3 linked regions of the Mus musculus genome follow. The protein of the gene in region 3 purifies or fractionates together with the protein of the main gene of each other region. This does not show direct contact. Links are inferred from orthologs where the notes say so. Each region holds a gene or a part of one and is shown on either strand. Other genes may lie near its edges. The genes, in order: Otud5, Cd44 and Slc7a11.

What was found.
Region 1: the proteins of Slc7a11 (region 3) and Otud5 purify together in Homo sapiens (affinity purification with western blotting; 3 studies listed by BioGRID, with this or other methods). This does not show direct contact. The link is inferred for Mus musculus from reciprocal best matches to the Homo sapiens genes SLC7A11 and OTUD5.
Region 2: the proteins of Slc7a11 (region 3) and Cd44 purify together in Homo sapiens (affinity purification with western blotting; 3 studies listed by BioGRID and IntAct, with this or other methods). This does not show direct contact. The link is inferred for Mus musculus from reciprocal best matches to the Homo sapiens genes SLC7A11 and CD44.

What each region holds. Positions count from the first base shown.
Region 1 is NC_000086.7:7,865,734-7,869,386, reverse strand, and holds part of Otud5 (OTU domain-containing protein 5), read right to left. Parts: intron 1,873-3,653; coding exon 1,808-1,872; intron 1,721-1,807; coding exon 1,564-1,720; intron 1,465-1,563; coding exon 1,316-1,464; intron 1-1,315. UniProt on the Homo sapiens protein: Deubiquitinating enzyme that functions as a negative regulator of the innate immune system. Has peptidase activity towards 'Lys-48'- and 'Lys-63'-linked polyubiquitin chains. Can also cleave 'Lys-11'-linked ubiquitin chains (in vitro).
Region 2 is NC_000068.7:102,849,644-102,853,296, forward strand, and holds part of Cd44 (CD44 antigen isoform c precursor), read right to left. Parts: intron 3,594-3,653; coding exon 3,372-3,593; intron 1-3,371. UniProt on the Homo sapiens protein: Cell-surface receptor that plays a role in cell-cell interactions, cell adhesion and migration, helping them to sense and respond to changes in the tissue microenvironment.
Region 3 is NC_000069.6:50,426,538-50,430,190, forward strand, and holds part of Slc7a11 (cystine/glutamate transporter), read right to left. Parts: intron 1,240-3,653; coding exon 1,114-1,239; intron 1-1,113. UniProt on the Homo sapiens protein: Heterodimer with SLC3A2, that functions as an antiporter by mediating the exchange of extracellular anionic L-cystine and intracellular L-glutamate across the cellular plasma membrane.

The sequences.
Region 1 (3,653 bases), on a different chromosome or scaffold from region 3:
CTTGGGAAGAGACTAGATGGAAACTGTACACTGAGAACACTGTTCTCAAGGAGGAAGGGGGCTTTGCACCAAGCTTGATGAACAGAGAGACCTCCACAAACCCCTCCCCAAAACAAATGTAAAATAGTTTTGAACAATGAAGTCTATTAATTAGAGAAACATTTAAACATTCAGACGTTTAAAGGAAAAGGAAATAAAGTAAAAGTTACAGATGAATCTTAAATGATATTAATTAAGTAGAAAAAATTCATTCTGGAATAGCTACATACACGCAGCGAAATTCCCATTAGATGACATTCTAAACCGGTGGAGTGGGTCACCAGATCAAAACAAAAGCAGTCAAATTCTTTAGAATTTGTTAAAGTCACAAGAAGTCAAAGGGAACAATTAAATGTGAGACAGAATCCTGGAAAAGGCTCACCAAGTAGAAACTGAGGAAATTGTTCTTAATGAATCCATACTGATTTGTTAATGACAACAAATGTACTATGTTCATGTTAATCATAGTGGGGCATATGGAAATGCTAATATTCTCCCAATCATTTTGCAAATCTGTAACTTTTCTAAAATTTAGTTAAAAAATAACCCCACCCCCCCACCAAGGTTGGAGGGTATGTTGATGTTGTTTAAGATTAGGCAGGACCACCTTCGGTTTGTAGGAAGTGAAACCTGAATAGAAGACTTCAAAACCCCCAGGAGGGGGTGAAGGGAAGATAGAGACCAGGGAGGAGAGGGGGTGGGGAGGAGAGGAAGTGGGGTGAGGAGAAGGGGAAAGAGCCTAGGAGGAAGGCAAGAGGGAGGATCAGAGGACATGATGAAAGGGGGAGGATGGAGCAGGGAAGATGAGGAGAGAGACTGTGAGACGGAAATGATTATCTGCCAGTGGATGCTGGGCAAATCAACTCCCATCTTCTGACACCAATTAGGTCTTGGGCCTGTGGGAAGGACTTTCAGTATAGGCCCAAACAATACAATCTGTCCACAGGGCCCATTCCAGTAAGCTGCTACATTCCAAGTCTGTGACTCCAACTGTAAGTGCTCTGAAGTTGGAGAAGATCTACCTGTGTGGAAGCTTGGATACCTAGTCCAAGGTCTGCCTTACTGCTTCAAATTGAGCTCTACATCCTAAAAGGCTCAACCAGAATAACATTAGTGAGCCACTTCATGGACAGGCAAATCAAAAGCTACAGAATGAGTTCTGATCAATGGTGACTCACTAATTTTATAGACAGGTGAAACTTAGGGGGAGACAGTTTTATGGTCTAAGGGCAGAGTCAATGATCCATATCTACCTGGGGCACAGGGACCCACTTACCCCTGGCTTAAATGACGGTAGGCCCAGCCCCACACCAATAGTGGCCTTGTTAGGATTCACCACTGAATTATAGTGGATATTCCGGTGGTAGCTGACACGGATGGGTTCATCTTCATTTTGATGGATCCCATGGAATGTGTTGATAGGTTCTGCAGAGAAAGAGAAGGAGGGAGCATCCACAGGGGGGCCCGGTATGGTTGGCTCTGATGAGGAACCATTAGTCCCTCACCTACCCACTACAGAAGTACCTGTGCTATATTGATACACCTCCACAGGACGGTTGTACATCTCTGCCATAGCCTGCATTTCAATGTGGTTGCCATGGCAGTTGTTTTTCCGCTTCCGGTTGATATAGGTGGTGAAGTCTTCTGTGACATAGTTGGAGAAGTAATCAGCGTTCTTCATCTGTGGAATAGATTGGAAAATTAAGGTTTGTGTGCAACGGGGGTCCCCCTACCCTCCTGCTGCCCCAAGGCCTCCCTTGGATCTCACCAGATAGTCCATGCAATGCTTTCGAACAACCTCATGCATGTCCTGGTCTCCATACACCTGGTCAGCTGGGGGTGTGAGGACAAAACAAAGGAGAGGATGGGGTCAGAGCTGTCACCACCAGAGCTCTGAGTCACAGAGTCATACAACAATCATTAGGGAGAAGACAGACTGAAGGACTAGGGAAACTCCCTTTTCTACACCAAGGCCTGAGCCTTCATTTGTGTTGTAAAGGAGTGGTGGAAATAACAAGCAAGGGCTGAAAACATGCTGAACATGCACAGATCAGCCAGGTGGCCTGGTACATGTCTACCATCCCAGCCCTCAGGATGTGCAAGTGGAATGGCCAGAAGATTATGTCAAGGCCAGGCTAGGCTACCTGTCTAAAAAAAAAAAAAAGTAGCAAAGTCAAACACTCTTGAAGAATGAAAGCGTATAGGGTAGACAGGTGAGAGTAGTACAGTCAAGGGCCAGCAAGATGCTCAGTGGATAAAGGCACTAGAGTACAATCCTCAAGACTCATACAGTTGAAGGAGAGAACCAAATTGCTCCCTTAACTTGTCCTCTGACCTCTACATGTAGTGACCATCCCAATCTCCATACCCACTAATAAAAATGAAATAACAAAAAGTTTTTAAGTTGGGCACAGTGGTGTATGCCTTTAATCCCAGGACTCGAGGCCAGCCTGGTCTACAGAGTGAGCTCCAGGACAGCCAGCGATAAACACAGAAACCCTGTCTCAGTGGGGGAAACAAAGGAGAGCAGTATATACCTATAATCAAGGCTGAGTCAAGAGAATTGCCAAGTTCAAAGCCTAGATCACCTGAGATCTAGTAAAACTCCATTTCAAGCCAAACCAAACGCTACATTCAATACCTACCACCACCACAAAAAAGATTAGAATCTTTTTTTTTTTTGAGATAGGGTCTCAGTCTATAGCTCTGACTGCTCTGCTACTTGATACATAGACTAGGATGGCCTCAAGCTCACAGAGTTCTGCCAGCCTCTGCCTTCTTAGTGATGGGATTAAAGGCTACCACCATGATTAGAATCTTTTCTTTCCTTTCCTTTCCTCTCTCCTTCCTGGCCCCCACTCTTTCTTTCCCAGAGTAGCCCTGGCTATCCTGAAGCTCATTCTGTAGACCAGGCTGACATTGAACTCCAGAGATCTACCTACCAGTCTCTGCCTCCTAGTGCTGGGATTAAAGAGGTGCGTCAACACACATGGCTATGATTAGAATTTTAAAAACTGAAGGGAAGGAAAACACTTTAAGTTCTGCCAAATAGTAACTAGTGAGGTAAACAGCCAGAGACAAATGACTCTCTGAGTTTCCTATGCCTCCTCTGTGAAGTGGAAAACAAACAGGTGTGACCTGACAGGTTTCTTGTGGACAATGTGGACAGTCTGTGTAAAGTGGTAGAACTCCTCTACCATCCAACTCAAAGGTGTACACAGACTGATTACACAAAGCCTCCACTGAAGATAAGGGGCAGCTCACACCTAAGCCCACCGGCAGCTCAGGACCTGATATAGTAAAAGAAATTGAGTACAGTTTGCTGAGCAGTCATATATGCTGAGGCACAGGAAGCAAGAGTTTCTTAATTAATGTGGGCTTGAAGATTAAGCAAACCTGACTTTCACTGGCTGCCTTGAAAAGGGAATTTCCCTGTGTTTCCCCAGAGATACACAGTTCTAATGGGATCCCCCTAGGGCACAGGGGCAGGGAATGCTAGGAATGGGAACGTGCCCACCAAGCAAGCCTGCCAGTCTATTTCTCTGAAGACTTGCCAGGGGTCTTCACTGCCCAGTGATTCCCTCCATGAGGGTTCTGTATAATACAGGAATCAA
Region 2 (3,653 bases), on a different chromosome or scaffold from region 3:
CATGCGAACTCCAGTTTAGAATGGGAGCATCACATATAACAAATGTCAAAGGTCACGTTAGTGAAAGCAGAGAGAGAAGGCAATTACAAGGCTCCCAGGAAGGCACCCACAAGAGGCTACAGACTGCCTCCTGTGGAAAACTGCACTGAAGATGCATAGTTTCTGACCCCTACCTGGAAGTACCCCAGAGAATGAGCTAAGAAAAAACGGACATACAGAAGACAAAATGAGCATGATATCACCTTCCTAAGTGGAGCTGTGTGAGAGGAGACAGTGAAAGAAGTGTCAGCCTAGGTGTGAGTTTTCAACTTGCCCCACCCATGTAAGGTCATGTAAGATGGAAAACAAATTATTCACTTTACACCCAGAAGACAGGAAGTAGTGCTGTCCAAGGCAGGAGCCTAGTTCCTAAATTAGTTTAGGCTTCTTGATTCCAGAGAATTCCAGATGACCAATAAGAAGGAACTGATGACACACCTCCAGGCAGATCCTTCCAAAAATAACATTTATAATAAGCAGCCAGTGGGATAACCCAAGCCTACAGAGCCTGTTGTTCTTGCTAGTTTTCCCAGTTGCCACCCACTGAGCACCCTAAAGGGAAGAATGAGCTGGCTAAGCCAGGCACAGCTTCTTCCATGTCCTCAGCCAGCCCAGCTCTTGACCTCTGCTCCCCTGCATGCTAATCTCCATCCACTCCCTCTCACTGTGTCTCAGCCCTCCACCCAACAGTGATAAGTAAGCCCTTGGGAAGCTCCTCATGGGACTTAAAAGGTAGGATTCTATTCAGAAGCTTAGATAGCATAGCTCTCTTGCTACCTGCTACATTCAAGTAAACTTAAACTGGTGGGCAAACTGGCCTCTCCTCCACACCCATTAAAAAGAACTAAGCCACATGCTCTCTAAAAAAGGGAAGGCAAAAGCTCCTTTTCCCTCGAATCCTGAGCTGCGTTTTAGGTACGCTTCGGTCACTCCCTTTCTTTGATTTCTGGGCTAGGATGCTGTACCCGTGAAGGGCGATCTGCCTCTGACCCTCATAAACCTCAGCAGTGTCTGGAGCAGAGAAGACACATGATATGGAGTGAATGGATGAAAACCTCACTGACCCTGGTTTCTTTTTTTGATATTCATAGAGGAAATGACCTGGGAGAGCACCGAAGCTTGAACTGATGTACCTTGTGGACGGATGGAGTCTGTGTACTTGTGCATGTGTGGAGGCTACAGGTTGACATTAAATTCCTCGATTGCTGTCCACCTTATTTTTGAGCTAGGATCTCTCACTGCACCTGAATTTGGCTAAATTGGTTAGGCAGCAAGCTGCAGGATACCTCCAGTCTCCATTACCCTTGTTACTAGGATACAGATGCGTGCTGCCATGCTCAACCCTGAGACTCTGAGTATTAGAATGGATCTGGTACAAAATTAGCACCTTAAGATGGATTCACTGACTGGCCAGATTGGATGGGGAAGGAGCAGTGCTTAGGGAATGGGTTAAGGATGCTAATATATTTGGCCAATTACCCCTCTTCAAGTACATGTGAAACTCCCACCCCACACAGGTTGGGACTCCAGCTGTATTCAATCTCCACATGACAGATTTTGTTCGAGGATGTTCTTTTGGGGTGGGAAATAGGACTTTAGGTTAGACCTGTTCTGCTTCCTTATCAGACCACTAATTACTGTATTTGCCAACATCTGTCAAAACTGCACATTCCAATGAGAAGCACGTCAGACACGGTTGCATCAAAAGGACAGGGGACCCAAGTAGGTGCACATAGCTCGCAATGTCACCTGCCTGCTCTGCAGAGGTCTCTGTGGAGAGGTATTTCCCAGGACACTACAGACAACAAGGTGACAAACCATCAGAGAGGAAGTGACCTGGGAGGGCGTGAGAAGCTTGTGAGCGTTGCCTCATGTGGATAGATGGAGTCCGTGTACTTAGGCATGTGCAGAGGCCAGGGGTTGACATCAAGATGTTATCCTGCTTGCTGTCCACCTTAGTTTTTGAGCTAGGAACCCTCACTGAAGCTAGAGCTCACTGACTTGCCCGGGCTGGCTAGCCAGTGAGCTCCAGGTTTTCCCCGTCTCTGTCTAGTATTAGGAGTGCAGATGCACACTGTCATGCTCAACTTTTTATGTAGATGCTGAAGATCAAAAAACTCTGGTCCTCATGTGCTTGCCTGGCAAGCACTTTACCCATTGAGCTATCCCCGAACCCCCGGAATCTGATGGGGGATTCTTTTTTATTTTTTGGAAAGGCTTCAAACAATTTCCTGAGAATGACTGGAATCCTGCACCCGTTCATATCAGCCTTCCCCCTCACTCAGCAACCTGATAACAGAAATCTAAAACACTGTTAAGTGAGTTCAGCTTGCTTCAGAGTGCTATGGAGGCTTCCTGGCTTCTGGGTGACAAGGGCCCTATCTTGTATATTCCCAAGCCAGTACGTTCCTGCCAAACGGTGAAAAAGCCAGAGTTCCACCCCTCTGAGTTTCAGCCAGGAAATGTGAAAATCCACACCATACTAGGAGGCTCAGTGAAGGCTTAGCTGCCCTTTTTGGGTGTGAATAATTCTCCACAGAAGGAGCCCGGCCATCTAAAACCTCATTCTAAAACAAACCATAGAGGAAGTGCAGAGAGGGAAGTGGAGGAGATAAAAATCTCTGAGCACCTTCCTAACAGAGCTCATCTGCACAAACCTGCAGCCACTCAATGCTGCATGGGCTGCCTCCCCTGCCATTGCCCACAGATACCTAATGCTCTTGCATTAGGGTCTTCCCCCACAAACTGCAATCCAGAACTCTACAGCAACAGAAGGTGATCAGAAAACCCCTCACTCTTGCTTCCTTTGGCGGGGGGGGGGGGGGGAGCATGGTTTGAAAATTAGGGTTAAGAATATGGATATTACACAATCAGAATCCTAAGAATGGATCCTTTAAGGCACTGATGGAGCATACACTCTACAGTCCTGACTTTAAGAGAACAGTTTTCTCTTAAAGAAAATGGCAAATGACAAGAATAAAACAAGCAACACCACAAATTATTTCTGTAACAGGTCGGAGGCACTGTTAAATCCTTAGGAGCAAGAGAAAATCGGCACCTTCCTGAGGAAACCCTGCCAATATGGCATTCCTTATCCCAAGGTAAGAGGTTCAGAGGTGAAGATGGTGGGGATCTGAAGGGGAGTAGAAGCCATGGCACAATGACCAGGAACACTGACAGGAACAAGAGCTGGACTCCCTAAATGATCTCACCCACAGCTAGATGTCTAGAGATGGCAGAAAACAGACCCTGGGGTGTGCGTTACTCAGGAAGGCCGTTGGCATTCTGTCAAAGAACTGCTAGAGGAAAACCCAGGATGCCATTCTCCTTACTGGTGGCCAAGGTGCTCCGGATAAAGAAGGAGTCATCCTGATCTCCAGTAGGCTGTTCAGTAGGAAGGTAGGTGTGCAAAATGTAGCTTTCTGGGGTGCTCTTCTCGATGGTGGAGCCGCTGCTGACATCGTCATCTATAATGTTTGAAGCATCGATGTCTTCTTGGTGTGTTCTATACTCGCCCTTCTTGCTGTAGCGAGTACCATCACGGTTGACAATAGCTGAAGGAGATACAGACACACCTTTAGAAATTCATAGCTGATATATCTTGAGTATAGGAA
Region 3 (3,653 bases):
GCCCACATCTTCTCTCACTTCATTGTGTTTATTCAGGGGCTGAGGTTACTGGATTTGACCGAAGCATTTTACCAACAGGACTCTAAGATCACCCACTAGGATGATTAAATGGACAAGAGCCATTCCCTTTCCTAACTAGAGTGACCAAGTTCTCAAGGTGGTTGCTTGGTGGCTCTATGATGGCAATGGGTTTGCTGAGCTTTGCCACTTCCTTTTGTGTTGGAACTCTCCTCCTGCAGGGTCATTGGATTTCCCTATAAATTCCTTTGCTTGGAACTGACAATGTCAATGTAAATGACACATACTTAACATGCCCACATGATATGTCACCTCTCTCCAATGGATTCACTCTATCATTTCTATTTGCTGCTACAAATTCCATAACCTGGTGGGTCCTCTTTCTCTTCGGAACATTTCCACTAAATCTATGCAAGCACACACACCATCTACTAGGGCCAACCATACACTATGACATCATCACTCAAATTCTTATCTTATTAAATAGGAAGCTCAATGACAAATCCAAAAGCTACACCATTTCTTCAGAAATGAAAGTTTTACATAGAAAATAATGTAATAATAAAAGCTAAGTTTTTGCAATGTTTTATTGTCATATAAGGATCTTGATTTCACTACTCTTCTGTGTATACTGATCTCGGAGTGAAGAAATGCAAATGAAAAAAATCAAGAATTATCGGTCATCTTTCATTATTTTCCAGAAATATTTTTATCTTTCATAATTGTTTCTACTACTGAAAAGTTCTGGAGTGCAAACAAAGAACATATTGATCTGTACTTAAAACTAAATAGCAAATTCATTTTGGTTTGTTTTTGCTTTTTACTTTAGGGTTGACTCCAAGCCACTCATACCAAGGGAATTCTCAGACACCTCATTTTAGTTGCTCCATCTAGTCTTAATTCTCTTGCTGCCATTCAACTATAAATACCAACTCATCCTCGATGTAGCCTTTCAAATCAATTAGATGACAGTACAGAGTTTAAGTTCCACAAGCAAAGACTAATTAAGGATTCTGCTAGACAAGCGAAAGTCGGTGTTAGAAGAGACCAGAAGCAGATACGCAGTTTAAAACGCATTTCCTTTTCAGCCCATACCTTTAATTAGCTGTATAACTCCAGGGACTATAATTATCAGAATTGCTGTGAGCTTGCAAAAGGTTAGGAAAATCTGGATCCGGGCACTCCAGCTGACACTCGTGCTATTTAGGACCATCACCACAGCTGCAAACAAACAGACACAGTCACAAAAGGCAAAGTCCCATGAGCACAACAATGTCTTAGGTCCTTGTCAGTCGAAATGAGATCTATAAACCTGCAGTGCTGGCATGAACTACCAGAAATTAAGAAGTGCAGAATCCCAGGCTCTGTCCAGATCCAGGCTCTCCTGCATTAAGATGGCTCTTTGAGAGACACTCAAGTCTGAGAAGCTTGGATAAGTCTCCTATACAGTCAGAGGATCTCTTTTATTCTTTACGCATTGGTAACAATGAACATATATTTTTATGCAATAACAATAAAGTAAAATAGCTTCATCCTGAAGTCATCCAGTGGTCAGGATAGTACTGAAGAAGGGGTAAGAAGTGCTTTGTCTGAGATCCTGTTCTGTACCATCAGGACCAGACCTACTAAGAACTATTCTTGGAATTCCTGACTTCCAACTAGATAATGAGGGTGAGTTTTAATCTACCCTGCAAGTATTGGTTGCCAACATATGTTTTCTACTGAAGCAAAAGGTCTTGGGACTTTTCAGCTTAGGATGCACAGTGAGTCTGAAGCCAGAAGATTTTCTTCTTAAGATACTGTTGACAGTTTCCTAAACAGCCACCCCCGTCCACATCAAAGACGGAAAAGTGGCTATTCATCCTGGCATTGCCAATAATTGCCAATAATCTCTTCCTGGCCCAGGTAGATAACATATTTTTGTTGAATGAATGAGTAAATGAATGAATGAACTGGGTTCTCAAAAATGTTAAAGCACAGTTTTAATGGTGGTATTCTACGCTTTCATTTTCTTCTCAATGGAGTGTTCAGGATTATTTCTACACAGTAAATTTCAACTTTATGTTCTTGCCAAGAACATAGGCACAGTATAGCCCAAAACATCAGCTATTTCATTCCTGACATTTATGGGTTTCACCAATAAGCTTTACTTTAGTAAAGATTATTCTCTCTTAAAAAGATTTTTAAATGCATAAAATTATTTCTCATGGCATTAAAAGAAACACCAGTGGAATTCATACTATTCAAATTAGAATTGTGTGGATTCGGGAGTTCTCACTGTGTTTCCCTTGTATAATATAATCTATTAGTTCAATTCCATAATTAAGAATTGGTGAGATGCCATTAATAGGCAATAACAAATGTGAAAATTAAAACAATCTATACCAGAACGGTGCCTAATTAATATACATACTTTTAATGGTTTTGGATTGCCATCTAAAAATCAATATACCATAGTCAATCATACATCACATGACATAGTGTTTATGGGATATGCCACTGAGCCACAGAGGAGGTTAACTAGTCATTGATGGATGCATGGGGGTGGGTGGGGGATGATAAAGTCCGAAACGGAGGAAAGAAGGATGTCAGGAGAGATATTTATTAAGTAATATCAGGGGCTGGAGAGATGGCTCAGTGGTTAAGATCACTGGCTGCTCTTCCAGAGCCCCTGAGTTCAATCCCCAGCAACCACATGGTGACTCACAACCATCTGTAATGGGCTCTAATGCCCTTTTCTGGCATGCAGGTATACATACAGATGGAGCACATATATACATAAAATAAAGAAACAAATTAAAAAGTAACATCAAGAACCTACAGATGACAGAATGTCAAAATATTTCAACTTTGAAAATTTGAAAATTTCAAATTTGAAAAAAGGTGTGTGTGGGGGGGGGGGATCAAAGTCTCCACTGACAGTAAAATAGGGGGTAGTAATGAAGTAAGTCAAAGCGGTAATTATGAGAAGACTAAGAAAGGTCTGAGATGGAGGCTAACATAATTCAGCTATGTTTGAATGAATGCGTGAAGGGATAACTAGATCCACTGTCAGTGCTCAACGGTATTATCAAAATGATGAAAATCGAAATAATTTCTGTCTGGAATACGTACAGAGATGTTGCATATAGAAAATAGTCAAATACAACCCTGCTTCTCCCCAAGTTACCTAATGAGTATCTATTTCTCTATGCAAGTGACTGTGTGATTAATGGCTCATCACATGAGAAGGATAATTTTTTTAATTAAAGAGGTCCAACTTTGACATAAAAGTGAAAGACAGAAAAAAAAAAAAAACTTGATCTTGGTTGTCATCAGCAACAAAGAAACACTGTGTTTGCCCTATTTCAGATTGTCCAAAGTAGAAATGAGGCCCTGGGAGGAGAAAGGAGAAGAAGAAAGAGGGAAAGAAAGGAAGCAGACATAGCACCCATGACAAAGTATTCTCCTTTGAGGAGCACCTGGCCATGTGCATAGTTGAGGGAAAAAGTGTTGTCTTCAAAGGAAAGCAAATGATTGATATCCACTGAAACAGGAAAACCAATAAGGATCTGGAATATTTTTCTGTGTTTTCTAAAGTTTAAAAAACAAATGGAAGGCAAAAATCAAACGTCGTGAATTGAGCCTTCCACCTT